Coturnix japonica: one gene and its partner. The protein of the gene in region 1 purifies or fractionates together with the protein of each later gene. This does not show direct contact. Links are inferred from orthologs where the notes say so. Each region holds a gene or a part of one and is shown on either strand. Other genes may lie near its edges. The genes, in order: MTX2 and CHCHD6.

Region 1 (16,662 bases):
CTGTTTTTCAGGACATATGACTGTTGCCTTCCCCTGTTTCTCTCCTTCTGTACTGCTTGTTTTTAAGCCAGTTACAGGAAACTGGCATCTATGGGATCAGTTCTCCCTGTTACGTACATCCAGAACAAGCACCAAATTCAATAGTTACTGGCAAGTGAGAACTAACAGCACATGAACGCAGAAAGCATCACCACATAAGCCAGGTTACAGGTGCAAAGAATTCAGCACCATAGAGGAGTCAAACAGCAAGGGGACCACCTACAGAAAAATCTTCTTTGGTTTTGTAAATCACTAAAAATAGATGAAAATTTCCCTAAGCTCAATGTATTTGTTAGTCAAAGTGTTCTGCTTATTAACAGTTTAGCATAAAAATATAGAATACAAAGCACTACCAGGATACTTCGGTGTCAAATTAGACTTAGAGGGAAACTCTGAGAACTGGTGTGTTGCATGTTCCCAGTGGAGTTGTAATTACTCAGGTTTGCAGCTATCTATTAAAAGAGCTCGCTGCCTCATCTGTCACATAAGAGAATGAATTACTGAATGTATCATTCTGCTCACACAAAAAGCTTCCAAAGCACAGAATGAGACATGACAGTCACATAAAACTCGTTGCCACTAGAAAAGAATAGCATCAGGTGCAGTTTTCAGGTTTTGGAGTGAAATGTTTTACTTGAGCTATACCATGGTTGGAGATTAAATCCAATTAATATCTTGACTTCAACATTTCCAGATGTTACAGAGTTGTCATTTCAATAATAAGAGTTTGTCAATCTAAATACTTTTGAGACAGCAAGAGGGACAAATGCATTTAAGCCATGGGAAGAGATCCTTGAGAGCACTGGACTTCACTACCAGCAGGAGATGAGCAGCACACCCAAGGCTCACATATCTCAGCTCCAACTAGTGCTCTCAGAACATGACAGGACAGGATGTACTTCTCTAGGGTACCTGCACACAGTTAATTTCAAGGTCCAAAAATGAAAGGCTGTAAGAAATTCCCTCAGCAAAGTCTGTGATGAGGAAGGCATCACTTCCCAACACTCTGCAGCACTTCAGTCCCACCAGCTCCTTGTCCAGGCTGTTCCAACATCTTATTAGAGTACCAAATTAGGTCTCAACTCCTACATTCTAATAGCTGGGAAACTTCATCCCATGTCAGTGCTGCCTGGACGGATGGGGGAACAGCCATTTTCATCCACTTTCCCCAAGCAGCTTCACAATGATGAAAGAGTTGAAATGAAATGAATGGCTTACAATTATACCTTTAATCCTGTTACTTAAAAAATAAGACTGACTGTGGAAATAAGAAGACACAAAACACTTTGCATGTTAAATTGTGAAATATGCTAAACAAGCACATAACATTTTCAGAAGCCTGGCATGAATCGCCAGTTTCGACCATCACAGTACACGACGTGGTTTGCAGCATGAGCTCATTTAACACATGTCCACAAGCCGCTCCTTCCCGAGTCTTGGGCACAGACATGAGAAAGCTCCAGATGCAGGCATCTAAGTGCTCCCTCCTACAAGGGAAATGAAGTTATTATCAGGTGAAAGAGTTCTGCAGGACCATGCTCAACTTGAAATTAAGCTGTTCCCAGCAATTAGCACAACCATAGAATTTGGGTGGAGTGGGAATGTGTTCAGAAGGCAATGCAGACATAAGTGATTTTCAGCTATAAAGCCAAAATATGCCTAATCAGAGTCAAGGCTAAGGAACTAACACCAAATGTTACTAGTCTGCAGATTATCTGTCAAGCACTGAAACTACATAAAGTAAATGAGACAATCTCTGCCTCGAGTATCCTGTAAACTAAAATCTCCTGAGTTCTCAGTGTGCCAGTAATTTATCCCTCAACACCTTCTTTCTGCTTCCGTCAATCATGCACCCAAATGACCAGCACCCTCTTTCATGCAGACCTCTGTATGAAATTATGCAAGTGAAACCAGGCCTGGGACAGAGCCATTGCCTGCAACTGTAAGCAGGAGTTTACAGACTGTGCAGAAAAAAAAAAGCAGCTTCTCTGAAGTCGCCAGATTTGCATGGATCATTTCCCTTTCTGTTATATTCTTAAGCACTTTGATATTAAACTTGCATAAAAAGAAGGAAAGCGAAAACATCTGTATTTACCAGTTTGGTTCACATAGCATTAAAGGCCTGTTAAAACAGCCAAGAGGCAAAATACTCTCTACTAAAACCTAAAAAAGTTAGCATTAATTTTAATCGCCGTATTCCAATATTACAGCTGGAGAAATTAACTTACGCATTATTTCCACACTGTTTCCTTTAGCCTCTCCCTAGGTACAGATTTGATTAAATTATAATGAGATACCTCAAAACTGTTTTCTCACAAGAGTAAACACTACAAAGAAATCGAGTCCTACATCTGGCTGCATCCACATCCAACATCATTATTTACAAGTCTCCAAGCACCACGGAGCAAACATCGCAACAACCATTGGGAAGGCATTCCTTGCCTGGCTTCCCAGGGCTGCTGCTCTGGGAGCTGTGCTCAACCCAAAGGAACCACACCGCAAGCTAACCCATGGACACCAGGAGGAAAAAGGATCATTAATAGTCTGATGTTGAGATGCATCAAAAAGAAGTAGGCCATCACTTTCTTCCCTTTTCACAATGCAAATGGTCACGCTTGCAGGGAACAATATATTGTTTTAAAAGAAAAGGCCAGGAACTGATGCATTCCTAAATCTCTGCTACAGGAATGAAGCATAGAAATACATTTTGATTGGTCTGGTCCTGCAAACTGACAAGGGCCAAGAAGAAATGAGAGCATCAGCAGCTCCCTGGCATTGCTGACAGAGAACCAAGGAGTGTTCCACAGTGCCCTGCCAAATGAAAGCCCACTTTCACACAAGTTAAACAGGCCACATTAAATCATGTATCAAATAATTACATCATTTGCTTAAATCTATCCCGGACCTCCTTCTCAGAGATATTACAATCCAGGTAAATCATAGCTGCTCAGTAATTATTGATCAAGCAGACATGCCAATGTGAAGACTCAATCTGAGCAGCAGTTCCCAAACTCAAGTTTCCTGCAGCAGAACACTAAAAAAGGTTGATCATGACATGACTGCAGCAGCCATCTAGGATGAGACAATCTGCTCCTTAACCCTCCAAGAAAGCTATTAATGGCGTGGATTGAAGCATCTGTCCAACTCCATTACTTTGAGCTGAGTGCCCAGAGCACAGACTGTGCTGTGGCCCCCGGGTACTCGGCATGCTCCCTGCAAGGAGGTGGCCTGGCAACTCCACGCTTGCAGAGAGGCCACTGAAACCCAGCAGAGTCAAAATCATAAATACAAGCTGCTCCTAAATCAACATTTGGGCTCCTTCAGAAAAGCACAGAGTGCCAACTAATGATCTCAATAGATTTATTTCTCAAGTCTCGACAAGCTGGAGCTATTTTACTTATTCCTGATATTCAGCATAAATGCTCCATCTCAAAGAAACTCCGTAATTCTTCGTTATAGCTTTTTATAGATCTCTAAATCAATCTCTTCCCTTTGCGTTACTCAAGTCCTTTGCCCTTGCCTGAAGACATAAAGCTCCATGCAGAGGAGCTGCCCTGAAGAGGAGGACAGATGTCTGACGCTCATGAATGTCCTAAGTGCCCTACTGGACTATGACAATTCTTAGCCATGCTGACTACGTTTTTATACTTTAAACTGGCCTTTTGGGAAGCTGTTTTAGATCGAGAGCTCCCCATCCGAACAATCCAAACTCCTCCATTCCTACAGATGACTGGCAGACAGACCGAAAGCCACTTCTGCAAAGTGCCCCTGGGAGCTCCCTGCTTCACTCCCAGTACCTTTACTCTGACTCAAACCAGGGATCCCACTCTTGTGTCCCACTAGATCAGCCCTCAATATCCCTGATCTTCTCCAAATGCTTCCCCCCATGCATTCTTTCTGTTCAACCAGACCCAGCCCTGTGGCCTCTCACTATGGCTGCCCTTCATTCCCACTCTCCTATCTCACCCAAGGAGCTGAGGGCAGCACTACCAGGAGGCATGAGGTGATGACAGCAGTGCTGAGAGCCTGGACCTCAGGTAGAGGCAAGAAGAGCAGAGATCTGAGGCAGGAGAGCTGCAAGGGGCAGTAATGCAGGCAGGTCTGGCAGTGGTGCAGCCAGCCAAGCGCTGCCACTGTTAAGGGGAAGACACTGGTGCCTCTGCTGCTGCTGTAGGGCTCACGGTCTCCAGGTCAGCCCCCAAAAGAGACAATGGTATTTGCAAAGCAAATGGGACAAAATCAAAGTAAGCATTCCTTTTCATTTACTAATTTTCTTGTCATACTTCTAGAGCAATCCTGTTTCCTGTCATGAGAAAATAAGAAGATACTACTTAGCAGAAAACATCTAATAGTAAAATCCTGATTAGAGGAAGACTGCTTTGTCTTAATGGAGCCAGAAACAACTGTAGAGGGATATTCTATTATAAACTGTAATTATATCACTTCATAAATACAAGAAGTAGCTAACTCAGAATGAAATACGTACAGTACTGTAATTATTACAAAATAAAGTTATTCCTCCTCTGGCCCAGCAAAAGATTAGACAGGCAATCCCTTCAAAGGACTGATTCAAATCAAGCTACAAAACATACGTGCCTGAGCAAACTGGCAGGAGCCACCTAAGAGACTTGCTCGTGGCAAAAGAACAGGACTTAAAGGGATCCCTTACATTGGATTACCTCCCGCTCCAAACAGGGAACTATTTTTTCACTGTATACAAGCACGAACTGTTCACATTCATACATGCACATTCTAATGTACAAAACGGACACCCAGCTTACATTCCATGCCTCCATGTGCAGGAGCAATGAAGGCAGTCAGTTTTCACTCTAGATGTTTTCTCTAAGCCAAACTGCAGCTTGTCTTAATACATAAAACATGCACATAAGAGATTTACTTTTGCTCTGGCATGTTACGCTGCAGGTAGACTCACTGAGAATGTAAAATATCTAAAGGCAGAAGGGCATCTGTTTTTCAAACTGCATTCATTTCCCTCAGCACTAAAACTGGCCAAAGGCCTTTAGACATAACTCAGCTGCGGTAAACAGAAGATCAAAGGACAAACAAGGATATTCTTTTCTCTCATTTTGATTGCTGGTCTGAACCTAATGTGTGGGGAATAGAATGCTAAGCATACTGAGTAATTCAGTGATCAATTGAAAAACATTTCAACAATCTTTTCTAGGCCATTTGAGCAGCCAACTTCTCTAAACTACCACTGTCAGAGTTTAATATTCTGAACCACTTGAAAGCTGGCACTCTAATTCTTCTTGTAGCATAAATACCCATTTCCTACCCTGTTAAAATGTGATTGATGCTAAGCTACTCTAAACAAATTCCCTACCATACATCCAATTAATACTTGAACAGTTCAGAAATTGCTTATTCAAAATGTGGTGTAACATGCTTGCAATTCATGGAACTACACAAGTATTTATGATTCCCCGAGATACAGCATCATTCTCTATATATTTCTGAACAAGTGAAATGTTAAAACATCACTAGAGCAAGCATCTGACTCCACATAAGAGATATCGTTGTCAGTGTGCAGTGGATCACTATGGCATGACAGCAGCAGGTTGTGCTCAGCACCTTGAGATGCACACACGTTGCACAGAGACTGCTGAGCCTCTGCATATGTGCAAGCAAGCTGAGCCAGTAAGGACCACAGAGAGGATGAGCTGGAGGTGCTGGAGCTGGTTGTCCAGAGCAGTCGCCAGCTGGGTTCTGAGCATCCCCAGGGATGGAGATTCCAAAACTGCTCTGAGCAACCTGTACCATGTTAAATCATAGTTCTGAGGGGGATTTTTGTGTTTTTTTCCCCCCTCAATCACTCTTACCATTCCACTCACGCATAACAAAGCACAGTATTCACAGCCACAGGTAAGAGAAGGCTGTTAGAACAGCCATTGTTAAGTATGTTTTTCCTTTCAGATACACCATTTTTCAACCTCAAAAATACTTTTGAGACATTTAAACCTTCCCAGTATCAGAATAACATATTCCCTGTGTCTGTGCAACCTACAAGTGGGGGGTATTGGCCAAGAACCTGGATAACTTCTAGAAAAATTTTCCAATATGAACAAATTGAGCAATTTTTCCTTTATTTAATTTCAGTCTTGGAGTGATACATAGTACAGAAGAGCTAGAAGGCCATGACCCGCCAGCAAAGGTATTTATTATTTTCAAGTCAGATAACTGCTTTTGACACTGATCTGCTTTTGGAAAGCAAAGGCAAGGTCATAATTTTGTTTTTAAAACGATTCAGTGGTGTAGCAGAAATGCTGAAGTCAGGGCTTGAACCACTGGTTTGAGCATTTGGTAGAAAGGCAGGGCCAACACAGGGGAGCTCAGGTGTAAGCAATGCCCCTGAGTAACTGAAAGGGGGGCAGCCAGGACCCACCCCTTCCCAGACCTCATTTAAGGGTTGGCAGTGGAAGCAAGGATTTCTTGCTGGAGATCCCTGCCTACCTGTGGCTTTCCAAAGTTAAGTATTTTTATTTCTTTGTTTTTATGTTCACAGTTGCTGCATTTGAGCTTGTTCCAAGGATTCAAATTGCAAGCACTGATAATCAGGTAAGACACCAAATAAGCAGTGAAAATAATCTCCTGCCCCTGAAAACCTAAAACCAGGTACTCAAAATAGAATGACCTTGGATCTACTTGTACTTTCCAAAGTAGTATGGCCTACTTGAACCTTTGGGGGAAATTACTGGAGGCCAGGGGATTGGTACTCCCTCATGGTAATTGGTATATGGCCTACAGATATTGTAGTTGACATTCTAATTTCCATTGCTAAGGGGACCTTAATCACGTCCCTGTGGCAAGTCAGCCCCCCCTCACTCCTCTGCTACCCAACATAGTTATACAGCCTCGGATATCAGGCCAAAGGGCCTAATACAGACAGCCAGGACATGCCCTAGTGCAAGCTGAAGTATTGACCCAGAACAGGAACACGGCCTGTGTCTTGATGTAGAGGGCAGACCTACCCTTTCTGGTACCTCTGAAACATCAATACTACTCCCTGTGAGTCTCTTTGGGTTCACATGATCACTGGGAGGAGCAACATGACATCAAGATGCTCCAGTGTCACTGTAAGATCAGCATGATGCCCAGTGGTGGACTATATGGGGCTGATGAAATGTGAGCTGGTCCAAGCAACCGTGTGCCTCCTGGAGAAACCACTGAGTACTGGCCCACAAAGGAACGTGACGATTGGTTTGTGATACAAGTTCAACTGTCTTGTATTTTATTGGTTGACACTCCAACAGGTAAACTGTACAAAGTGTTGATGTGTACTTTATCACCATAATGGAAAGGGCTTACCTTTAATCTGCTCAATCATTGGTTCACACCATGAAGGGGTGGAGTGTAGCAGAAATGCAAGTCACAGCCTGAAGCAGTGATTGAGCACCTGGTGGGAAGGCAGGGCCAACCCAGGGGAGCTCAGTTGTATGCAATGCCCCTGAGTGACTGGAAGGTGTGCAGCCAGGATCCACCCCTTCCCAGACCTCATTTAAGGGTTGGCAGTGGAGGCAAGGGTATCTTGCTGGAGATCCCTGTCTACTTGAGGCTTTCCAAGGGTAAGCAGGCTGTTTTTGTTTTTGTGTCCACAGCTGCTGCATTTGGGTTTATCCTCAGTGGCTGCAGCCCAGGGCTTTGCCACCCTACTATTACTGCTGTGCTTTCCATCACATTATAGTGTTACAAGTGGACAGGTCTACAACGAGGATTGGTACTGTACCTTCAGTCATGGTAAGTTACTGCACATCCAGCAGTAGATCAATAAAATAAGCACTGAGCACTTTTGCTGTGCAGGAACATTGGCAGCAATTTTGTATTAAATACCTGCATGTTATATTAAAAAAAAAATAATAATAATAAACTAGCATTGCTTAACCTGTAACTTACAGGACAAAAATGAGGCTCTATGCTTATTAAATTTCAGGAAGGTCCTGAAGCATAGAAACACTTCTGATGCTCTCATCATCCCATATTCATCGTATAACTGTCATCACAAGAGCCTGAGGCTACTGAAAGCAACCAACCCAACGGAGAGGCAAGAATCTGTTCAGAAACAGAGGAACAACTCGGAATGAGAAAGGAAGGAGCCAGGCACTGCAGTATTTCTTGCTTATAGTTTCAAATACGCATATGTATGTGCAATACAGTGTTTGTAATTCCAGTAAGGAACAAGTATTTGGTTTAAGATACTCAAAAAGGGCCACAGAGCAGAGAAACACAGTAGAATCGACTCCTACTCACATTTGTGATTATACTTGTGTTTCACAATGTAAGTGAATGAAAAGCACTAAGGAGATCATGTTAAGTAAATGGCATGGAGTGATGCTGACAGACCATAATCCCCATGTCCTGAGGAATTGGGGTGCCTGGCCTTTAGAATGTAGGTGCTGCTGGAGCTAACACCATGAATCAACAAGTCCCAGCCCAAGAGCCAGGCACAACTTTAAGGATGCCTGTGGGTCCCTGTTGCATACCCAAATTTGAGGTTCTTTGTTTACCACACCAGCAACAGGCAAGCATGCTCTGAAAAACAAACCAGGACTCCTACATCAGGGCCTCTGCAGACCCAGCTCTCGGGACAAATGCTGGCTTCTTCCCCAACGGCCTGGCAGGAATGGCAGTGCTATTTCCTTGCAGTGTTTGCCCCTTGTGGGCTCACATAGCAGGGTGAAATGTGATCAACACACTGACTTTATGTGCAATGTACTGAGCGTGTTTTGAGCTGTACAGCCAGAAACTCTCTGAGGTGCACATTTGTTCCTTGAGAGCACTTCTGTTACAAAGTGTGACAGTTATGCACGTTGCCGCTATTTAGGACAAGGCCCGTGTTTGGTGCATGCGGCCCAGTTATGGCGAATCGTAAGAACAAATCATGCATCGTTACACTTCTCAGCTTCATAACAGCAGCACCATAAACACGGCGCTTGCAAAGGAACGTTATTCAATGGAAATGAAGGCGCTGCGTGGCACAGCTGGGAGCCTTGGGCTCGTTAAATGAGCAGAGGCCGTGCTGCCCGCAGCTGTGCGCTCCGCCATTGCAGCGGGAGCCCGGCGAGGTGCCGCAGCGGCTGTACCGCGTACAGAGCGCGGCTGTGCACGGCCGGGCCTGCCGCAATCAGCCCCTGCAGGGCAAAGCGGCCGGTTCTCCTCAGGGCCCTGCCGCGCTTCGGAGAGGTCACGCAGGCTCCGGCCGCCACAAGGGCACTGGGCCCGCAGTGCACACGATCGCCAGCGGCCACCCCGGCCCGACGCCCGCCCCACCGGCCGCCCGTTCGCCCGCCCGCCCCTCACCGGCCAGTTGGTTCATGAAGGCCTCCGCCACCAGCGACATGCTGCGCAGGGCGAGCCCCGCCGGGACGAGGGCACAGCCAGGAACTGGGGCCGCAACGCACGGCCGCGCATCCGGGTACGCCCCGCCGCCATGCACGGCACCGCCTCCAACGGCCGTTACTCTTGAGGGCGGGGTTTGCGGCCCGGCGGTGTGAGGAGAGGAGCGGAGAGGAGGAGTTGCCTCCAAGAGGGTTCAAATCCTCGGTAAATGTACCCATAGAGAAATGCAGGCTGAGCATACAGTGCAGCTCCAGCGCGGGGACCTGCTGTGTGGAGCGCGTAGTGCGCGATGTGAGGGAGAGATTCGTCTGGAAACGATGCGCTGCAAAGCTGTACGTGCAGCGTTAGAGTTAAATGCAAATGCGGACATTGCCAAATGTGTAAGTGCGCTGTGAAGCCAAACAGCTTTAATTCCGGCCATTAGGATCCTGTTCTGCTTACTGCTCCTTAGTTCCACACTGCAAGTGACTATCCCCCATCTCCTGTGAGAGCTGCTGCACAGGCTGCGGCCTGTCTGCAGCCCTGGGTCAGCCACACAGGACTCCAGACTTCATAGAAGAGCTACGTAACACAAAGGACATCTTTGTGTATAAGCTTTCCATGACAATTACTACTACCAACAAAAGCAACTTCTCTGGGCTCCATATACACCAAATCTGCAGAACTTTTCCTTAAAGCTTTTAATAGGTAGAGGATAGAAAGACAGGATTGTGAGCAACCCACTGTTTGGGGAATTACATCTTGATCTCCTTAGTTAATCCAGATTGAGGAAAAGTCCCTTTGAATTCGCACCCAATTGAAATGTTATCTGAGATAAAGCTGCTTGTTTAGCCATGGTGTAATAATTCTCTTTCTTTGCCTGGAAATATAATCAAAAGAAAAGTGAAAACAAAACTACAATGTGACAAATGGTAGCAGGAAACACTGGCCAACATCATGATGGATGAGAATATTTATCATAATTCTGAGTATTGTGATGGATTCTTGGGCTGATTTAGCCACATCTCTATCCAGTAAACAGTAGTAAAGCCTTTGCTCGGGGAGCGATGACATTTGTTATTTAACTCATGACAGATGCCAAATCCTTCAGCAATATAAACATGGCTGACATCTGAAATACTGCAGACACTTCAGCTTCATTCAAGGAGAAAAATGAAATAAGTGCACGTGGAAGGATAATTGCAGATGTTTTGCAGCTTTTTCTTGGTGATATATTATGTGTATGCAGCCTTGATTACAGTCCTATAGAGAGGAGTCAAGGCAAGGGTACCCTGGACCAGTAGAGCAACATAAAAGGACTTTTAAAAGCCCTCTGGATCCAACAAAAACCCCAGTCATGGGTAGTCTCTACTACTGAGGGAAAGTTGGCTTATCTAGCTTGTTCCACATGACATGTAGAGGTAATAGATGAGGAGCTGAAAGGTGTCATTTCAGCCTGTTTTACCTTTTTTTTACCTTTTATGTCAAGTCAAGGCAACTCAATCCCTTTTCAGTTCCTCTGGCATTTACACTGTATGAAGCTTCAACACATGAGGACTTAATCCCAGTAGTTCTCTGAAGATAACAGAAACACCTAAACGTGGTTTAGTCTGAAAGCAGAAAAATGTTCAACCTCTAACTGCCTGAACTAACTGCAGATTAGAACAAGAACAAAGATACTAGATATGGCTGTGTGTCTGTGGAATATGTACCAACTGGATCATTCATTTATCGACCTTTAGAGAAATGATCAGCATGTGCAGGCAAGGTGGCATTAAATTAACTGAATTTGACAGGAGATGATTTCCTACAATTACAGGTGCTTTTCCTATGGATCATACCAGCTATCTCCTTTTCAACATGTGAATGCTTCCTGAAGTGTCTTGCGGATGATAACTAAAGGGAATCAGTTAAGGGTATAGCTGCTTTTCCTTCATCACAAGTTGAGATTCCATGATACAAACTTCGTGTTTTGAGGTGTACACCTTGGCTTTTATGTCTTAGCCCTAATTCTGTGACATAAAGGCTATCTAAAGTTCAGGAAAATTCCATAACATTGCATTATGAATGCACTACGTAGATTGTTGTAAATGTTCCTGTCTCCAAAATGCAGCAAGACAAAGATGATCAGGCTCCCTGCTCTGGGACTGGAGTTCAGGAATTGCTCCTGCTGAGCCCGGCTTCCTTCACAGCCATCGTGCAGATCATTTCTTCAGCTGGCCACGCAATTCACGTGCTTCCTTCTATAATGCTTCATACCACGGAAAGCTTCCCACCTTTCACAAACTGCAAAGGCAGAACAGCAGATCCCAAGGTGGAAGTATGTCAGATTTCAGTATTGAGAGAAGGACACACTTCAAGTTAGAATTTCAAGGGAAACCAAAAGGCAGAATTGAACAATCTGCAGAGCTTTGTATTTCAGAATGACAGCTGGAGTACTGCTGCAGAAATGCTAAATCATGGCTTGAACTAGTGATTGAGCACCTGGTGGGAAGGCAGGCCAACCTAATGGAGCTCAGGTGCATGCAATGCCCATGAGTGACCAAGAGGGGTGCAGCCAGGGTCTACCCCATCCCAGACCTCAGTTAAGGATTAGCATTGGAAGCAAGCAGGATTTTGTTGGAGGTCCCCGTGTATCTATGAGTCTTCCAAAGGTAAGCAGACTGTTTTTCCTTTGTTTTTGCATCTGCAGCTGCTCTGTTTGGGCTCGTTCTCATTTGCCTTACCCTGGGTTTGTGCTACTCCACTGTTACTGCTGTACTTTTGATTGTGTTCTGACATTATTGCGTTATGAGTAGATGTAGCAGAACCACTACCCATAAATGGGGGTGTTGCCTTACGAAGGCATGCCCAGAGATAAAGTACAGTCTTCATATGGTTATATACACCTCTCCATGTAGGCTGCCTTTAGCAGGTGAGACTTTAATCCCTGTGGCTAATTTGTCCACCAGGGAAATGGAACTGTCATATATGTGTATATGTGTATATGTTCAATTTTAAATTGATTAGAATTTGAGAAAGGACTTATCCATCCCTAAAAAAAAAAATAAAATAAAAATCTAATTATCTGGATAACTTGTAACATGCACATTCAATTTGTATCACTTTTATCTTCCGTTTTGTTGTTCAATAAAGTGCACAGTGTCACAGTGAGTAGCACATACTACCAGCTGCAGTAGAAATCGCTTGTGAATTGCTTGGAGTTGTTACTGATATTGTTGCATGAGGAATTTGGAGATGATAGTAAAAGGCTTCTGGCTTTTTGTAGTAAGCTGCTTAGTTTTTAACATGGCTGCTCTCATTAGTGTGCCATGTGAGGTGTTACTGTCACCTGTGTGGTAGGATTTAAGATTGAGCAAGCACCTGTTAAGGGTAGGAATATCAGTTTCTCTGGACCTGAGTTCTGCTGTGTTTCGTGTGCAGTTCCCAAGTTGATGGAACACATTTTAGGCTAAATCTAATCTAGGCTTTGAAGGCTCTGAGGCAATCTAGGCTCTAGTTTCACTGAAGGAATTTTGTTGGTGTTTGGCATACAATAGCAGTCTTGAGGTGGTAGTGTAAGCTGTTCTGTATTACAGCGTGACCTTTCTTCATCCCAGGATGCTTGATGGAGCATTTCAGAGCACTTTCTCTGCCCAAACTGCTGCTCTCCATTTCCATGGAGCAGGTTTCTAACAATTCCTGCCTTTCCAAATCACAGGAGGAGTGCTGACAGTTGTGCATTCAATTAGGAATGGTTCTTTTGGAAAGATAACTGTGCAGAAATTTCACTGGTGAGTGGAATCTCTGATCAGGCTGTTTGTGTGGTATTGCTGGTGCTTGAGAATAGGCCAAGTGGTAGCGAGCGATTCCTCTCGTTTACAGGAAGCAAACCAACTGGCACAGCAATGCCTTCTCCTTGCCTGGCCCACTGCCATGTTGCCCCTGTGGTGTAACGTAGGGCATCCTGGGGGTTGCTCTGAATTATGCTTGCTGTCAGTGTCTTTAAAAAGCTATTACGGCTGCTGGGGATCTCTGCAATGAAGGAGGATTTGAGCGTGTCCTTCCCTGCCAATACACTGAGTGCCAGGCAACAGCAGGAGGGTGTTTCTAGCATGACTTGGTGCCAGAGGTGATCTGTGTGCTAAGCAGCCTGGCAGAGCGCACGGAGCAGCAGAAACAGATGGATCCAGATTAACGTGATCAAATAGATCTCACGGGGTATTTAGTATGTTTGTCATGCGAGTGTTTGCCTGTCAGCTGTTTCACATAATACACTGTTTTTCCATGTGAGGAATGGTGCCAAAATCTCCCAAGTATCAGGTAAGTTATGAGATTTTCAGTCCCACCAAATCCAGTGGGCTTAGTGAGATACTGCTCTGCGAGAGACCAGAGTCAAAGCTGAGGTCTAACTTCCCGTTCCACAACTCTTGCGCGTGTCCTTGGGATCTTGACATGTGTGCCTTGTGGGAGCAGCTAGGACTCGGTCAGTAGTATAGGTGTTTCTGTGTAAGTTCAGGTGTATTTTATAGTAGATTACGTGCTATGAATATTAAGTACATGATGATGAGAGTATTCCTGTGTTTTCATTGCCAGGCAGGTGTGTGTTTTGGTCTAATGGTCTAATAGTTGTGTAAACAGTGTAAGGCATAATTTCTATGAATGTGCTTCTATGAAAATGCAGTAGTCAGAGTTGAACACAACCACTTTGCACTTGTTAAGTTACTGTGTACTTAACTGATAAATCAACAAATGCTGATGCGTTTCCAACAACCCACATGAGCATAAAAAGTTTTCATAGTTTTAAGAGGTACAAGAATAGTGTTTCTGAAAGCAAGGAGGGGATCTCAGACTGAGTATGAAAGCAATTTGGTGAATCATTTTCGTCTTGCTTTCTCACCTCCTTTCCTTTTTATTCAGCAGGGTCAGATATTCAGGGGTGCTAAGTCTCTTTTAGCACGTCTGTCATCCTCACAGCTGCACTGAGCAAGCATCAAAGCCAGTGTGCAGAGATTCTTACTTCACTCTTTACTTACTGGAGGCATCATCAGCCCCCAGGCTCCTGCACATTTCTGTCATTCATGGCAGCTGCTGAGGAGACTTTCCTCATGCTCTGAAACATCCAAACCTCCCCTGGACTTCCCCTGGTTTCCCTGTGTGTTCTCTCAAGGCCATGACTGTCTTTTTCCACCTTCCCTACTGTGCTGACCTTTTGGCTCCGTTGGGTCCAACCTGTAGTAACAGACTGATTCCGTACTTATCCATCTTTTCTGAATTCCTAATTGAAGAGACAAATATTGATTCATTTACTTTTTTGTTGTTGTTTATTAGTTTAATTTGACGCACGGATCACGGTTGTGTTGCCTAAACTGCAGGAATGTCAAAGCAGCAATCACAGCTCCAACCGGCACTAGTGATTGCTCTAAATGTTCGTCCCGATGTTTGTGTAGCTCACACGGCTGCTAAATCCTGAATCATCTTGCTAATGAAAGTCAGAATAATTGCTCACAGTTTGACTGCAGGCACAGGTTAGGCAAGTCTTCTCAAACTCTGGAGATGGTATCTGTAAAATTAAGGAGCTGCGGCTGAGCTCAGTTTCTGGACAAGTGTGGTAAATACTGAGGGGGTTTATTAATTCATCAGAGCTCCCTGTAAGATGGTCAGAATCCTTCTCTGGAGGCCAGCATAGAAAGAATTAACTTTCTTCTTCCTGTAGAAACGATCACAACTGCCTACCCTGTATGGAGGGAAGAGGCAGCTGTAATGAATTATTTATCCATAGTGCACTATAAGGGATGTGCTGTGATTAATTGTAGAGCTGGGCAGGAAATGGTTTCCTTGTCCCAAAAGATTTTTTAGATTAAAAATGTGCTGCTATTCCACACCGGGATAAAACAAAACCCTCTGTAATACTTTTAGAAGACCAAAATAACGCACAAAATCAGTCTAATATGTACGACTCTTGCAAAACAAGAGCCCAGTAGAAGTTTTTCACGGCTGAGAAGGAAGTTTGCTGCAGAATTCCTGAGGGCTGACCCACTGCATAGCACCAAGCTGCAAGCAGGAGCTGTCCTGGCTGAGAGCTTGGTGCTGACCAGCACACTGGTGTGAGCTCAGAAGTGCCACTAATCCCATGTGTGTGCCCCAGCGGCTGTACCAGGGTAGGGCTTATGGCTACTCTTGTGGAGGCACCGTGAATCTCACTGCAGCAGAAGAGCTGTGACTGGCTCTGCCCAAATGCTTGGTCCTTAGAGCAGCAATCTGTTGTTTGGATGGACCTTTCTGTTGTTACAGAGAAAAGCTACAGAGCTGAGTCATCTTCTATAAACCTGTTTGCCTCCAGATGTGAAATCTCCTTTTCTAAAAAAGCTCACGGGGAAGTGAGGTTTTTATTCTTGTGATTCATTCCCCCATGTGCTTCATAAATAAGAGGATTTTCTCATGATTGTTTCCAGCACTTCCAGTTTAAACACGTAGCCTGACTGTACAGGAGTGCCCTGGTGTATTTCTGAGGGAGGCTGAAAATTGATTCACTGGATGTGATGAAGCAGAAACTTCAGAAGTAGAATCTATGCCATTTAAAATCACTGTCTTGATCCATAAAAGGAACAAGGAAAGCTTTTCTGTATCTTCATTACAGCTGTAGAAGTTCATACTTGACATAGTTTCTCCCCAGGGTGTAACTGCGGTGAAGGAAAAAAATGACGGTGACTGACTTGACTTGAATGTATCTACATTGAAAACATATGGCCTTGTTAGCAATAGGTATGAGCTGGTGGGGCTGGGTATCTCCAGAGATTTGTAAGGGCATGTGGCAGAGCAGATTGATCCCTTCCCTGGCAGTAGTAGAAGGATGTGAGAAAAGCACCAGGTGTCTCCTTTGGTCTTTTTTTTTGAGGCCACGCAGCCAGAAATAAGGAGTGCACGCTGTGTGAGGAAATAGTGCTCAGTTCGTGGTGTGGTGATGATTTCACAATATTTTACAGAGAATATGGACTTTGAAGGTTTTTTGAACACTGATGCGGAAGAGTTTTGAGCTGCATGAATCAGTTTAAGTTTCCATTTAACATGCAAAGAGTGGAGACAAATTGAACTGCAGTCCAGCCCAGCTAACAGCCATGTGCAGCATTCCCAATCCATTATTTTCTCTTAATTCCCCAAAGGCTATCAAAAGTTACAAGGCTAATACTGTTAGTATAATTTGAAGTTGTCTTAGTCACTTGTTTAGAATAAAATTTATTTAGTAAAATGAATACCTTGGTTTGTCAATATATCTCTTCTCTAGTGAAGGAGACTTATGCTGCTGGGTCA
Region 2 (16,050 bases), on another chromosome or scaffold:
AAACAAAATCCCTATTCGGGTCACTTGTTGGGCTGTGTGTTGTTTTCACATTCAGTTATTGCTTGCTATATTGCTTTTCTGCCTTGTGGGAGCTGAGCCAGCTTCCTTTCTGATTCAGAGAACTCCTTCCAGCAACAAGATTCTGACTCATTCCTGCTTGGCTTCCAGAGACCATTTTGCTGCTAACTTTAGGCTTCATCTTTGCTAGTCAACTTTTAGTAGTTTGGCAAAAAAACGGTGCATGGCTTTGTGGGCAGGAGATCCAGTTCTGTAAACTTCTGTATCTCTTGGCAAGGCAGCCAAGAGGCTGTAGTTTTCCTTTCATCTTCCAAACTGACAGTTTCTTGTAACTCAGTATTCTACCATCGTAATCGGTAAAGAATTCACATCCATGTACACTGAAATTATCCACTTGTGGGGAGAAATCTCTCATTATTTCACATTGCTTGCCATCTGCCATGCAGAATGCTAATAGGGATGATTAGCAATTGGGTTTGCAGGACTGGCTGGGAGTTGTCACTTATAACCCGCCTACAGCCATAGGGATGCTGCTAAGAAAGTCAGTTTAAATGCGGTAGAAGCTGCATCCGTACAAGTAAATATAAATTGAAGTTTTTTTGGGTGGCCTATTGCTCTAATGGGGAATGGCTACTTACATATGAGGTTAAACCATGTAGGAAGGAGAAGAGTTTGCCTTGTGTTGAAATAAGTGAGATATGGAACTGGAACCTGTGCTGCTTTGGTCACACAGTCTCTTTGCATGAGTTTCATCAGTGGAATGGAGACATCGTTGTTGACTTCTGTGAGTGTTGGCTGAAATTAGGTGTCATATAAAGCTCTGAAGTAGTGCATTCCACCTTAGTCTGAGTGTTTAGAAAGTTGTTCTTGTTGTCATTTCCTAAAGAAAACGTGGTCAGGTTAGACTGTCATCTCTGAAGGAGTTCCAGCAGCGCAGTGACACTACAAGTTGTGGACTCTGTTGAGATTTGGATGCTTGTTTTAACTTTTTGTTCTCAGTGATAGAATCTAATTAGTTACACAGAAGATGATTTCAGAACAGCTTCTGGGCATCTGTGATTGGAAGGGAAGGAGTTGTCTGTCCTGGAAAGGACGCGGGTGCACTGAGTGCACAAATTGCAATGGGGAATTGTGTGACAGCTTCAAACAAGCTGTCAAAAGAGGAGCGGAGATTGGGAAGTGTTTGAGTGACAAATTTTGTAGGATCACAGAGCTGCATGGAAACCGAAGGACTTCATAAATATGTATTCATTAGGCATTTCCATGGACAAGGTAGGAGAGAAGAGAAATGAGTGACCTGCTAGTGAAGTGCAGCTGTGAAGAGGGAGAAAGAGAGAGGAAATGCTGCACTGTGCAGTAGTGTGTTGCAGACAGTATGAAAAGACATAAGGGAAGGATTTAGAAAAGCAGCTGCCACAGCTGAAATGTGGAGGTAGTGTCCCATTAAGAAAATTGTCATGAGGCTTCACCTTTCCTTTTAATCCATGTCCTTTACGCAGTAGTTATTTCTACAAAGAATATTCCACGCAGATTGGTGGCAAAGCTTTGAGTGGTGTTTTGAATACATGAGACTGATCAGAGATATTTCCTTCCTGATGGTAATAGTTTATTCTTGTGAGGCATGGAGTTTATTTAGACTATGCTCGGTTATGTAGCTTAAATAGTACTGGTTGATAATCCATTAGGAATCTTCCTTCTCTTATTTTGTTGCTGTTTGGTGAGAGAAGTGACTCTGCCCTTTCATTCAGGCCATGTTATCAAGCTGACGTGCAGGGTCAGGGAATCCCATAGGCTGTAGCGAGGCCACAGTGTTTGCTCTGTGATAGCACAGCATCCTGCGATGGAAGCTGGCTTTCTTGGCTGTTTGTTCTGTGCTGATGAGTTTGTTATATGTGAATGAAATGCTTCAATTGTGTTTAATTTTCTGCTGTAAATGTCAAGGATGCAGTAATGAGAGAGGATGGAACCTTTCTGCACACTATGTATTGCATCTGTCTGGAGTTATTTTCCTGACATGTTAAAGAGGAGCCATCAGAGCCAACTGCTACCCAAGGGAGAATGCAGTTTTACAGGTCAGTTAACCACTTAGTGGCTTTGTGTATGTACGGTGCAGCACACCACTTCCATGTGACCAAACATCGCTGAGCTTAGTCTGAAATACATCTGGTGTAGCCTGGATATACAACCATACTAACCAACTATTTGACACATCTCTGATTCCTTTCCGACACAGAAACTGCTGCTGCGCTTTGCTCTCAGTGCAGCCCGTGCACCTCATTGCTGACCTCTGAGGCTGTCTGCGCTGTAGTTACAGTGGTGATTAATGTGGTTTGTTCAGGTTAGCTCTGACACTGGTTGCAGTTGAATAGTGCAGCAGAAAGTAGCTAACCTGGTTATTGGGTTCTGCAACCCACAGGAAATTTCGCTGCACCATTTAGGCGGCTTCTATACCGGAGCAAGCTGTTCTGAAGTCGGCTTGTACAAGAAACCCTGGGTGTCTTTGAATTTTCACTTTGAGTAGAAGTATCTAAATGTCTAGGTTTAGATACCTTCACTCTCTGTCTTAAGTGTTTTTTCTCAGCTTGAATGGTTTCCCAGAGTAAAAGGTAAAAAGAGAATCTTGCCTCTAATTCCATCTGGGATTGCTGTTCTACCCAGTAAAGCCAAGTGACAGCGTGGTACTTGCTGTGGATCTTGGACCAGTTTAAGGAGCTGTCAAGTCCTAAAGCTTTCAAGTTCTATCTCCACTTGGCTAGTCTGATATTTTTTTTCATCAGGGTAGAAATAGTAGCAAATGCATACACATCTTACAGCTTTCCCTCGCTTTCCAGTACCAAGCCCATAACTCTCCTTCCAAAAGTGGAAGCTGTCAGCAACAACGAGCTGGTAGCCATTGCGCTATGTTTGTAGCCTGCCTGTGGGATCTGTGTACTGATGATATTGCCTTAAATCGGTTCATGAAATAAGTTTGTGTTTGTCTTTGAGAGCCGTTGTGGCTCCTTGATTAATTGATGGACATTTAGACCAGCACTCTGCGCACTACTGCAGCGCTTAGGATGGAAATTCTTGAAGAACCTTGCTTTAACCTCCCAGATGCTCAGCACTTCTTCATGGGGTTTATATCCACATAGAAGTGAATTTGCCAAGACAAATGAATGCAGTTATTGACTGGAGCAGCCGTTACCTGCCGCTGTTGAACAGTTAGGAGAGGGTTAAGAAGAAAACCTCTTCTGAGCCAGTAGATTGGCCCTGACTAAGATGAATGTCTAATTCACTCCCAGCGTCCTTACTGCTGCCAGTAATAAAAAGCTTGCTTCACATATTCACCCCACTGCAGACGTTTCTCTTAAATTAAATATCAAGAGGACATATAATAGCACGATTCCACACCAAGCCAATATTATCAGATTGATGTCAGCAGTGATAATAGAAGAAGGATAAGTTGATGAGATTTCATTTGTTAAATAAAGTAAAGGGAATACGCAGTGATAGAGAGGATTTGGTAACTCTTGGTGTGTCAAAATGCAGCAGGATCACATTCGTTCCACCTTACCTCAAGGGATAGCAGGGAGAAGGACGCCCTTTGTTTCATTTTAAGAAAACCCATCTCTTCTTTTCCAGCCAAAGAGCTGATTTAGATCCTTCAGCAGGAGGGGGAGAGGAAGATCTGAGATGTACGTAGCCTTCTGTCTCATTGCACAGCGGAGAAGCTGAGGATTTTCTCCGCTGTGACTGGAGAGGCACTGCTAATGAGTTTTATTTCTAGATTAATCCTTTTTTTCCCCACCTGTAATCTTTTCTCCTTTCCTCTTCCTTGATCATGTATTATTGTTTTAATCTTTCATATTTTGTATGCCCTGCATTTATATCCGGGGTGTTGTCAGAGCTCAACTCCTGTAGTTCCTTGTCTGTGGGTATTTTCCTAGCCCTCCTGCTCAGACCTTTTCCTTTACCCCCCTTTTATTTTAGCTGCTGTAAATTGCTGATGTTTAGCTGCATCTGTTTTCATAATAGCAGTAGCAATTGCAATGCATTTTATTTTAGACAGAGGCTAATTGCCTGCCTTTCTTGGTCTTAGCATATTACGCTTAAAACTGTGACCCATTTTAGAAGAAAGGTCAAAGCTTACTGTTCCTCTGCTCTTTCTGTATTCAAACCTCATTCCTTCTCCACCACATTCTTTCCCCTTCATTGTTTAAAACCCTCCAGCAGCGAAGCATTTACCAAGAGCAGTGTCCAGGAGATGATTATTTTCCTGAAGGTTAAATACTGCCCATAGCCTTGTGGTGGGCTGAGGTTGAAGGGGTGTAGCTGGTAAAGCTCTCCTTCCTTTCAAATTAAGTGTACCACTGTCCAAAGCCAGCGTGTGCTCCATTGGACTTGGGTGTCCTTCCCTGTGCTGGGCTCTTCATTTCACAGGTCACACTGTGTTGTGGGCTACAGAGACAGTTCTGAGCAGCACTGCCTTCCTGCTCCAAAGTGAGATGTCATCCTCTGTAGGATTTAGCTGGTTTTGTTGAATTTCCAGTTCATTTGTGAATGCTCTCATAAATGGATTTGTGGGATTTGTATCGATAATTACGTCAGCTGATTTTGTGCTGTGTTGATGAGATTCTCTAAATCTCTTTTGAGAAGGTGGTACAACTGGTGCATAGCTGGAGCTTCTCCACGATACTTGTTTTGTTCCATTGAATTCAGACTGCTCTGTGACATGCTCTGCCTTTTCCCTCCCCCAACCCTCTGCTTGAAAATTACAAAATGCCCTTCAGTTTAACATGGCTGAGTTGGAAAAACCTAATTTTAAAAGTCTTAACTTCTTCAATGAATTGAGGGATTTGATGGTATTTCCTGACCTGGTATTGTTTGGTGTCGTTTCCACAGTCTCACTGATTTGATTAGAGCGATATTAAAGTTAGTGACAAAGCAAAATGCCGATATTATGAGTTTTTGATGCTCTCTCCGGTTCCTTTTCTATTTCAAAATCTGAAGATTTTTGGAATATGGATTTTCAGGGGCTTTAAAGGTGATTTGCTACGGAACGTGGAAATTACAAATGCATGCTCACCTCTGGGGACTGCATATGAAACAAGTTTCTTCTAAAAGCTGTAGGGTTAGAGAAGAGGGAGAGAAAAAGAAGTCTATGTAGTATTTTGGTGGCTTTCTGATCTAGGTGTTTCTGAGTGTGGCTGTCACATTGTTGCTGATAAATTCTTAGTTATAATCATAGAATACTTAGAGTGGGAAGGGACCTTTAAAGGCCATCTAGTCCAGCTCCCCTGCAATGAACAGGGACGTGCACAGCTAGATCAGGTTGCCCAGGGCCTGATCCAGCCTTGCCTTGAAAGCCTCCATGGATGGGGCATCAACCACAACACTGGGCTACCTGTTGCAGTGCCTGTTGATGTACGTTGCAGGGTATGACCGAGGACTGAACTATTGCTTGGAGTATGTCTCAACCAAACTATTATGAAGAGGCAGTGGTGTTGCTGGTACAGATGGTTTCTTCTTTTCCTCTTTTGCCTTCCTCAGTACCTTACCAAAATGAGTGTGATTTGGAAATTCCTATCTGTAGTCTCCAAAACACTTTTGGATGATCTGGCTTCAAGATACCTTGTGGCTTAGAAATGTTTCACCTGTGAGAGAATGAAAGATGTTCAGGAATAGGCCATATTTTCTTCCTACCTGGTTGGGAAACCCTATTGATTGAATGAGTGACTTGTTACTGTGGAAATGAATGTAGCACAGTATGGCATTTGTGCCTGCCCTTAACATCAGGTGCTTTGGAAAGAAGAGGGACATTTGATCTTTGAGCACAGATCTCTTTAAGCACACTGAGGCAGGGAATGCAAGGAATTAAGTGGGTTTATGATTTAGAAGGCAGTGTCTTAGTGCTGCTACTCCTCCTGCTGAAATGTACCATGGCAATTGTGCTGCAAATTCCTGCAATTTGTGGCTGCCTGTCTGTGCAGCTGATGATGCTGTTACTGTGCTTGTGCCATTGTGGCTCGGATTATTTTACAATGACCTTCTCTTTATTGGTGCTATTGCTGAAGATATGCCATATGTACTCATGCACATGATAGCCTCAGAACATCATCTGTAATTGTTCTTGAGTAGCTGTCGATGCCACTTATGGGACATGAGTACTAATTGCTTCGGAGATACAAAGAAACAGATACCTGGTCTTGCTATTATTCCCTTTTTTTGTTTTGTTTAGTTACTGGAGGAACTGCAGTACTCACAACCAGGCTGGATTTTTTGGGGAAATGTTTAAATAGTTGAGAATTCAGTAAGTAGGGGTAGCTCATTCAACAAGTCCATTCAGTTCCTTATCAGCCTGTTACAGATCTGGTGCAGGCCCAGCCAGAATTCCTGACTTCTGTCAAAGATTTCCTGCGTGTCTTGGAGAAATCATTGAACCTCTTGAAATTGGTTTCTCTTAACTGCAGATGAGACACAGTATTTTATCTGTGGGTAAAGCAGCCTCCCACACTGACCCAGTAAGAATACATTCCATCTTTCTGCTTAGTACTCTGGATTTTTTTAGCTGGAAGACATCACTGGTCATTTAACTCACTTTGTGATCGCTGCTCCTACTGGTTTATTTATTTTTTAGGGCTAAGTGACTCCAGCACAAGTGTGTGCCACTAGTCAAGTGGTAGGCAATGGCTGCAAACTCCCTTTTGCACATCTCTCTGTTCTTGTTTTGCCCACAGGAGGAGGAACACTGATCCTGTCTGTGCAAGTCTGCAGTCTGAAATTCTGAAGTGCTATCAAGAAAACCAACGTGAAGTGCTCAAATGCTCAGAGCTGGCTAAGGAGTATCAGCGCTGTGTTAGTGCCGCTCAGAAGGTAGTAAAAGCTTCTCTGTTATACTTGCTGGCTTTGCTGACTGTTCTGTATAGTGTTTTCTTCTGGAGATCTGTGGTATCTTTCAGTCAAGTTGGGGTGTTTATAGGAGACAAGTCTTCCTTGGGATGCACTTTATGCCCATTCAAGTTGATCCAGTGCTGCCCGGTCTCTCTGTGGTATGTCCCAGCTGCCTTCCCATCAGTGCCCCTATGGTGCTGAGCTGCTACCAAAACAGTAGTGCAGATACTCCTTGCCTTCAAAGTCGGTCATAATGATTTTTCCACATTTCTCCTTCTTTGATACTGTGTTCTGTAGATGGTAGTTACGTCTATTTTGCCAATATTAGCGATGTTTTGGGCAGGCTTTAAACATTCCTGATTCCATTGTAGGACCTCACGATTATCAGTCTTGCTTCTTTTTGTGGTTGCATGTGGAAAACTTGTTAAGTAGCAAGGCTGCTGCCTCTTGAGGGACCTGTGTGCTCCTAAAAGTTGTTTGTGTTGTGGAGAGGTCCAGCAAGCTGTTATGGCTCTGCCTTCAGAGATGCAGAGCGCTCCTAGCTTCTGTTGATTCCTTAGGATGGTGACTGCTGAGGACCTTGGAAGAATCTGTGACTTTGAGAGCAGGTGAAGGAGAAAGGAAAAAGGAAGCATTTGGATGGTTATGGTTGTAGGAAATGTGTGTGATAAGACATAAGGTGATGTCTGGAGTGTAAAGGATGCTGTTCCTCACATGAGAATTCAGTGGGTCAGATGTCCCTTGAGGGCAGACTTCTTTTTTGGTTATAAAATCTCTCAGGGGTCTTGAGACTGTAGCAGGGTGGGTTTGGGGAAGGGATGGAGCCTTCTGGGAACAGAAAACTGAGACTCCTCTCTTGGGATTATTAATGTGAAGGCGGGGGGTGGGGGGAGGTGGAGATTTCATAGAAGCAGTCTTTCTCTGTCGCATTAGCATTGTGAGGGGAAGCTGTATGCCTGATTTAAGTATAACATGAAACAAGCTGCCAGCCGGCTCCCAGAAGAAGCCCGACAGAAGGAGATGGGAAAATTGTCAGGATATATTAGACCAAATGTTGCTGCTAGTCCTGGTGGAATTTTTTTCCTTCCTGTTTACAAAGAAGGTCTTTGTATGTCTGCAAATCAGCAAGGTTAAAGCTGCCAGGGAAAGGGCTTTTCTCTGATATCTTTAAAGCCCCCAGCTCCCAAAACATGTGGTTTCTTTTTCTTTCTTAGCTCTAAAGTGAAGCAGTGCCTTTGCTGCCGCACAATCTGTGCCCTCTGTTGCTGTGCTCAGAGTGCCGGTGCATCCGCTGCCAGCCTCTGTTACCTGATGCTTCCACCTTCCCTCCTGTAAATCAGGCTCGTAGCCTTTTTTGGTGGAGTATATCTTTAGCAAATGCATTTACCAATACATCTTTATTGCATGCAGTGCGGGCGGAATGTGATTACCAAAGAAGACAGATTGCATTAAACTTCAGCATATTTGCAAGCTGCGGCTCCAAGCCGCCTGAGAAAGGGTCTGGGATGCTGCCAGCCCTGAGCCCCAGGCCGACATTATTAAAGAGTAAATTGGAAGCTAAATGACTGGTAACAGCAGAGGGCAGTGAAAGATCCTATTAACTTGGAGCTTGCTTAGATTTGTGCAGTGTGGGGTTGGTTTTTTGTATGTTTTCTTTATAAACCAAAGAACTTGGAGGTGGTCTCAGTTTACAGAGTGTTTAGGGAATTTTTTTTCCTTGCTCTTTTGGGAAGTTCCCAGAAGAAGTGGGGCATAGGACGTGAACGTGCTGTGGGTGATGGCGATGTGACAGCGAATCTCCTTGCTATGCTTTAAGAAAGGGGAAGGGGCATTGAGGCACAGGTAGCTGAAACTTGCAGCTGGATACAGGCACAAGAGGGTTTTGCAAGTGCAAACCCAAATAAGCTGTGTGCAAGGCAGAGCATCTCCTGTATTTGCCTTTATCCCCGGATGGCTCGAGCCCTGCCAGTTTGCCTCGCTGCTCTTACTGCTTCCTCTGACTCCTGAGATATATATGTAGCGATCACAAGCTGTTGTGCTTTTTCCTGGACCGTACAACTCCCTCCTCCCTTTCCTATCTAAGCTGCTATTTTTCTTTAAGTTTAAATTAGCAGCATCTTCTACCAAATGGCTTTTCGTCTCACGCGTTCCTCATTTGGGTTGGAGGAATGTGGGAAAGAGGGGTCACAATCTCTTGATTTTTTGGTTATTTTTTCTTTTAAACAGAATTTGTTTGCTATTATAGAAGGATGTTGTAATCAAAGCTGGATGTGGGACTTCAGCTCGCTGGCACGATGGTGATTTGTTCTTTTGCTTTTTCCTAAAGATTTTATAAGGCTTGGTGAATATTCTTTAATGAAGCATCTGGTTCTCTGCAAGTTCTTTTTGATGGCTGGTAAAATGTCTCCAAGGCATGGATACATTAGGCTCAGAGAAAGCGAGCTCTAGATTTCTAGGTTGAAAATTACAACTTATAGTGGATGACTGTAATTCCTTGCATCTTCCCCCTTACTGTGTTGCTTTAAGACCATTCCTTTGGGCACCCATTTCCCTTTGCCTGTTGCTGTGTACATTTCTCATCCAGGAGGTGAGGTGCAATCTCAATTACCTCTGCCCCACAGAAATATATCCGGTAATAATTTCTGAACCTTAGAAATTTATTTTCTGCTCTCCTTTCCTGTACAGGCCCTCTTGGTGGAGCAGGTTGCTGTAGTGCATGATAGAGCTGTAATTGTTGTTACCTCTTCTGTATGTGTTCTACTCATCAGGGCACAGAAATAGGTACTGCAGGAGCACGGTGCATCACGTCCTACAACAGTCCTTTAAAGGAGGTCAGTGGAATTGCCATCTACGAGTGACTGTTCTACCACTTAGGCACACTGAGGCCTTCAACTCCAAACTTCTAGTGCCTGTAGTTGGATGCTCCCGAGTGATCCTCTTCTGCTTGTTGCTCATCTGTTCTCTGCCTTCCCTATCTAACACGCTTACTAGCTTTGCTGTTTATTTGTTCAGAATGTTAAGTTTTGTTTGTGTTCTCGTGGGCTCTGGGTTGCTCCCTGCAACCTGAGCTTTGCTTATGTCGATGCCCTCTGACATCACAGCATGTTGCTGTAATGCCTCCTGTTTAATTTAGGAGTGTTTTATCTTTTCTGGTGGTCTGTTTTTGTGGCTCCGCAGAACTTCGGCTACAGCATAAGAATTGCTGGTTTTAAATCTAATAAAAGCTGGGATAATGGGACAGCTGTGGGAGGGGCAGTTCCCATTGTGTCTTTTAAAATTGCCTGTAGTTTATTGACCGCAAGTTTCACCAAGAGCTACTGCTGCCGTTAGATAATGAGAATTGAAAATTGCTGCTGCTGTTTCCCCGAGGTTTTATCTCGTGCCAATGAGAGGAGGGTGTGGAAGGAAAAGGAGAGTGGGTAGTGGGAATCTGCGCTATTTCTTTTTTTGGACCCTGATAGAAAAGGAAAACAATCGTTTTTTGGAAGCGTAGGTCCTGCTGCTGAATTGCTTTCCTGCCCTGCAGATGTGCACTCACGTGCAAGGTTTGTTAAGATCTTTGTGACCCCTTCTGCTTCCTCTACGTCCTGTTCACACCGGTGGGTGAATCTGAGTTTCCATAGAGGTTTGGATGGTTAAGCTGTAATGTAACTGGTGGTTATGTGAGGGGGTCTCCAACCAGCTGCCACCTGAAAAATGCGGCTGCTGGTGACCACATATTAACACGTGTCAAGGTTTTGAACAGTGCTGCTACTTACAGTTGTGTGCAATCAAATGCCCACTGCACCCTTCTTCTTCCAAGTGTTCTCCTAATGTCTCCAGGTGCTCCTCTTTCACAGAGGGACCAAGGTGATGTTTTTGTGCTCTAGCTGCTGGTCAAACCAAGTTATAACGAGCTGCATACTCACACATGTGTATTCCCTTGTCAGTAGGAAGTACATGCACTGAGCTAGGAGCCATTCATAGTTCTGCGCCTTTTCTCTCTGTTCTACATCCAGCTTCTCACGAGTCTGCTATTCATAACAGACAAAGGTAAACCTATTTCTATCGAGGCTTTAGGGCTTGTCTTCATAAGGAAATTACAATGTAATAAACTGGTGAGTGAGTTTATTGTATAGCAACTTCTCTGTATGCGAACGTACTCGGTTTGTAATGGAAGCGCAGGGAAAATTCACCCTCATTTGCTGTGAGTCACTCTGCTATGCAAACAAGCCCTGGCAAAGCACAGACTAGATTCCAGCAGATGTAGATGTCTAACATAACCTTGAGTCTACTACATTCTCCTTTACCTTTGACTCTAATAAAGAAGTGTAGTCAATTTACTGCTCATGCTTTTGACTGATCTCTATGGAAGCCCATTTTCCATTCAACACACACAGCAGAGCATTGCAACTCTGCCTGAAGTTTACTTCTGATCTGTGAGCAGTGACCTACATTACCATTGCTGAGAAGATGCAGCTGATAGTCATGCAGTGTCCATTCCTGATGGAATAGCTTTGCTCAAGCATTTGGATCCTGCAGGAGCCTGGCCTGCTGTGAGCTGTTGTTTCCCCGACCAGAATCTTTCTGCCAAAGCTCATCGGCTCCAGGAGATGCAGGATGTCGTGGGCTGTATTGTGAGTAGCTCAGATCATCTTTAGCTTCTTGCTATGGAGTTGTTTCCATCCTGATGGAGTGCAGAATGCTTTACAAATTGGTTGACCCCAGCCCACTGGGGTACAGACCTGCTGGGAGTTTCCCTGGATGAGGGAACCATACCCAGGTACAGTGACTTGAGAAATGCCAGTGTTCTGCTTCCCTCACCAACACTCTGCAGATCTAAATCTCAGCAATTGAAGCCTTGTAGAGAAGATGTATCACGAGGTATGCTACTTGAAATACAGTATATCTAACTTGGAAGGCTTTAGGGTTGTTTGAGCTTTCTGAAATTCAGCTTTGTGGTTTGAGATAAATCTGTGTATTTGGTATCTGGAGCATGATATCCTATCCATACCCTCAGCCAGGTATGTGCCTGCCCTGCCGTTCGTCTCTCTGCCCTTGTTCAAAGCAAACGTATCTGTGAAGTGTTTTTCTTGCTTTCTCTGTAAAGTCAATTCTCTTTTTTTAATCTTTCTCTCTTCCAACCTTTATTTGTCCAAATGCTGTGGTGATAACACTATCGGAGGAGTTTATGACTCAATAAATGGCCCCCACAAGGGAATCAGTGGAGAGGCCGCAAGCTGCAGGCAGCTGCTGTTTATTTAGTCGTAAAGGCAGAGCAGCATTGGATTCATTGTAGGCATCTCCTGACCTGTTATTTGCAAAGGTGAAAGTGATCCATATTTTGCTCCTATTTATAAAGGATGGAAGCAGTTATTGTTTAGATGGGTATTTCTTTTTTTTAAGGTGGCAGTTTTGGTTCCATTGGGTCTTTGGTCCTTGCACAACATTTCTGATTCCCTAGAGTTCATCAGTGGATAAACTAAAAATATAGAGCTGCCTGAAAGGACATAAAGCACCATCTTAATATATGAGGCATGTCCCAGAGTAAAATGCTGGCCTACTTAAAATGGAAATGGCTGCTGCATATACCTGGTATTCATGAAACTGGAGGTGTAAGTTCTTTATTTGCTCTGTATCTCAGCACTTCACGAAGCCCTGCTGTTCCCCACAGCCTGGCAAACTGTCAGCACTTATTAACCCAGCTACCTTTCTGACTCTGCTGTTTGTGGTCCATGTATTACGTAAAGCCCAAATGTCGTATATTCTGGAATTTACCATTTGCAAAGGAAACAACAGCATAAATAAGCTTAAAACTTCTCTTTTGCCCAACTCAATGTGCTTCAGGACTTCTAGGGAGATTTAGTCAAGAGCAAAGGAACGTGCAGGCTATGAAGTTCTTGTGACCATTGCCTAGCCTGGAAGGAAGGCATCCTGCCCTCATTTCTCCACAACAATCTGCTGTCTAAGAGCCTGACTCACAGTCCATGTGTATTTATTTTTGTCTTTCTATTTTTTGCTTGTTTGGATTTTTTTTTGACATTCTTATAGTGAGACAAAGTTGCCTTTGGGTCTAATTTCTCACTTAATGACTCTAATCTCAGATATACTTAAAGGTAAGATTAGTCTAAGCGTGCATATTTTACAGATGATTTTGAAGGGAATGTTGTTAAAAGAGGGAAATAAGTCAGTTTCTGAAGTTGGACTGTGTGGTGTTTTGTTACATTAAAAAAGTGGTCTGTGCTACAGCTCCTTTTGACTTAAAACTTGGTTTGCCTGAACCTGTTTAAAAGCAGCCTGGAAAAAGGAGGTAATGAAAGCGCTATAGGAGCGAGATGTCATACCTGACTTGGACCTGGTGTGGTCTTTGAGTGGGTGGATCTGAATGGGTGCATTTGAAGTTGGGCATCAAATATAAGTAAAATCGGGACAAGCGCTATCAGGACAGGAATGTGTTTCTCTGAGATACTCTGTCTTTGGGAATTATTTCTTTATAAGCTTAAATAATGAGATCTACATGGATATATTTTATCTAAAGAGTCTCCCAAAGTCTCTGCTCTCTGTGTGGTGTGTTAGGCAATGTTTTCCCAAGAGCTGCAGCTTGCTTGCAGCCAGGTTTATCTACTATGGGGAATAGTTGCTTGGGGGTGAGAGTGTGTTGTGATACATCATGCTGCTTTAATGCCAGACTTCTTCACAAAAGATTTGTAGCACAATGTTGGCAAGTTAAAGTGGAAATTCTTACTCGGATTAATTCTGGGAGACTGATGACCAAGCAGTCCTGGACAGAAGGCAGTTGATTTCCAATTTTTAACCTACGTGTTTTGCTGCTGAAGTTAGATTGAAACAGATCCACAGAAATTGCTGTCGATAGCAACTGCTGGTTAGAAGCACAAGGTCAGTGGTCAAATGCCTTCTGACTCCCAAGAAGTTCCAAAATAGCCTTGACTTCCATAACTTCATTGCTAATGTTAGGTCCATTCTCTGTCAACTTGGCTATAACTTGGGAAATAGTATCTGGGATGCCAAAGTCTTCATGACAAACTGGGGAAAGTAAAGATTTGTTATGCTTGTTGTTGGTCTTGGTCTATGCAGGATGGCTTCCTGCTGAAGGCACTTTGTTGCTTTTACACACCATCCATCAGCTGTTTTATTAGCAGGTCTCGGGGCTGAATACCTTGAGAACTAAGAGGATTTAATGCCTCCAACACTCGGTTGAATCTGTCTGTAGATAGTATGTATGGGGGCTGTTCTTGTGGCACTGGTCCTAAACAAGTGGAAGAATTGCTACCAGGTAAGCATGACTGCTCCACCTCGCCCTTCTTTGCAGCGCCTCCTTGGGAGGCTGATGGACAGCACACGAGCCCTTGTATTAATAGGAAACCAATCTGTTTTTCATCAGACCTGTAGCACGTTGGAAGAGACGGCTTGGGGAAGTTATCCTGATGCTGCTTGCTTGGTATATTCCATCCACAGACCATCTCTATCCAAAACTGTGGAGCGTTCATATTACAAAATCTAAGTTTTGTAGGGAGGGTTCTTTTGGAGCCAGGCCTGCATGTATTGTGGTTTTCATCCCCTTATGATGCTGTCTCCTTATGCACCTCCTATATGCACCTTCTTACCTGGTGGTATTTTGTGTTTTCTGATTGGAGGCCTCTGTAGGAGCCTTTAAGAGCTGGTGAAAGGCTCTTAGAGCCCACCCTCAGCATTCACAGAAGCTGTCCGGACAGCCAACACTTGTTACAATTAGAATTTGTTACCTTTATAATATGAGGGAAGGAGATAGTGTAGTCCTGAGGAAGTCTGGTGCTGCAACATCCTGTGTAAAGTTGTTTCTGAAGCTTGAAACGAGTGCTGTTGTGCTGTGGTAAGCCTGAATGTATCCAGAAATGCAGACTGAATTATTCTGACAGTGTGTTCGCTCTTTGTCCCTGCTGAATGCCTGTTTGTCCTGTGTAAGTGGATTTTGGGATCAGCCAACCTCCAGCTCTGAATTAGTCTAATAAGGTATGGTGGGGCGGGTTTAAAGGTCATTGTGCTAGCAGCTGGCTCCCTGCATATATTAGGGGGAATGATTCTTAAAATAATGCTATTGGAAAGCTGTTGATTTAACTTTTCAAATACCTGTAGTCTGTAGAATCTCTGCTCTTCTCCCTCTGTCCTTCAAGCTCTCTGCTTGCCCTCTGCCTGCTTATCTCTCTGTCATTTCCGATTACCTCTACCCACCTGCCTCTGCTTTCTCTCCCTCTCAGTTTATCAGTCCACGTTTGCTGCCCACACGGACTGGGTTTATTTTTCTGAGCAGATCATCTGTTGGGTTACTTCAGTGAGCAGTGTAACAGAGAGATAAGGGTTACTTGCTTCAGTCTGTTAGTAAAGCATTATTGCATTATTCCTTTATGGGGGGACTGGGAGCTCTGAACATCCACTCCATCTGCAGTCTGTGTGTGCTGCAGATACTTCGTTCCCTTCTGAGAACGAATTGGACATTGCTTTAAAGAAGATCATGATATTTCTATTGTATTTTTTTAAACTCTTGGTCAGGTTAGAGTGCGCACAGTGATCATTCCAGCTTTCTCTCTGCAGGCTGCTTCAATCCTTACCTGCTCTAAACGTTTCATATAGAAATGAAAAATCATTTGCTTTGTTTAGTTGTTCTCTGGATTCCTCTTTGAGTTTGCCAGCAAGGGTGATTCCAAGGTTACACAGTGGACGTGTTCCCCCAGGCCGTATTAGCAGAAGCAGATGAAAGCTTTTGTCTTAAGTAGTGCTAGAGGTGGCTTATTTAGGGTTATCAGCCTTTTAACAAGCTTCATAGTATTTCTAGGCCCCAGGTTTCTGGCAGTACCGTTTGACTTCCTGTGATAACAGTCATGCATCATCTCTTAGTACCAAGTCTAAGTGTGTTCGAGAGTATCCTGAGGCTCAAAAATTCTTCTCAAGTCTCGTTAGAAGTGCACAGCCACTGAAAAATGCATTGGATGCGGTGATTCAGATGGGATTCTTCCCAGCTGTGTGCAGCAGGAGCTGCTACGATAAAGACACTCTGAGAGGACTGAGGTGCACTAGAGGAGTTTTCATGGAGAGCTTCTGCTGTGCCTGTGGCCACTGTAATGCTCTGCAAAGCCAAGCTTACAGCGTTTGGATGGGCTCCAAATTGACCTCTCTGGAACAGGAACA

Evidence for each region.
Region 2: the proteins of MTX2 (region 1) and CHCHD6 purify together in Homo sapiens (co-immunoprecipitation; 3 studies listed by BioGRID and IntAct, counting the BioPlex papers as one, with this or other methods). This does not show direct contact. The link is inferred for Coturnix japonica from reciprocal best matches to the Homo sapiens genes MTX2 and CHCHD6.

Annotation. Positions count from the first base shown.
Region 1 is NC_029522.1:14,452,848-14,469,509, forward strand, and holds the start of MTX2 (metaxin-2), read right to left. Parts: upstream 9,572-16,662; 5' UTR 9,395-9,571; coding exon 9,355-9,394; intron 9,005-9,354; exon of another isoform or gene 7,988-9,004; intron 7,795-7,987; exon of another isoform or gene 7,656-7,794; intron 6,616-7,655; exon of another isoform or gene 1-6,615. UniProt on the Homo sapiens protein: Involved in transport of proteins into the mitochondrion.
Region 2 is NC_029527.1:7,447,665-7,463,714, forward strand, and holds part of CHCHD6 (MICOS complex subunit MIC25), read left to right. Parts: intron 1-6,734; coding exon 6,735-6,870; intron 6,871-9,656; coding exon of another isoform or gene 9,657-9,719; intron 9,720-16,050. UniProt on the Homo sapiens protein: Component of the MICOS complex, a large protein complex of the mitochondrial inner membrane that plays crucial roles in the maintenance of crista junctions, inner membrane architecture, and formation of contact sites to the outer membrane.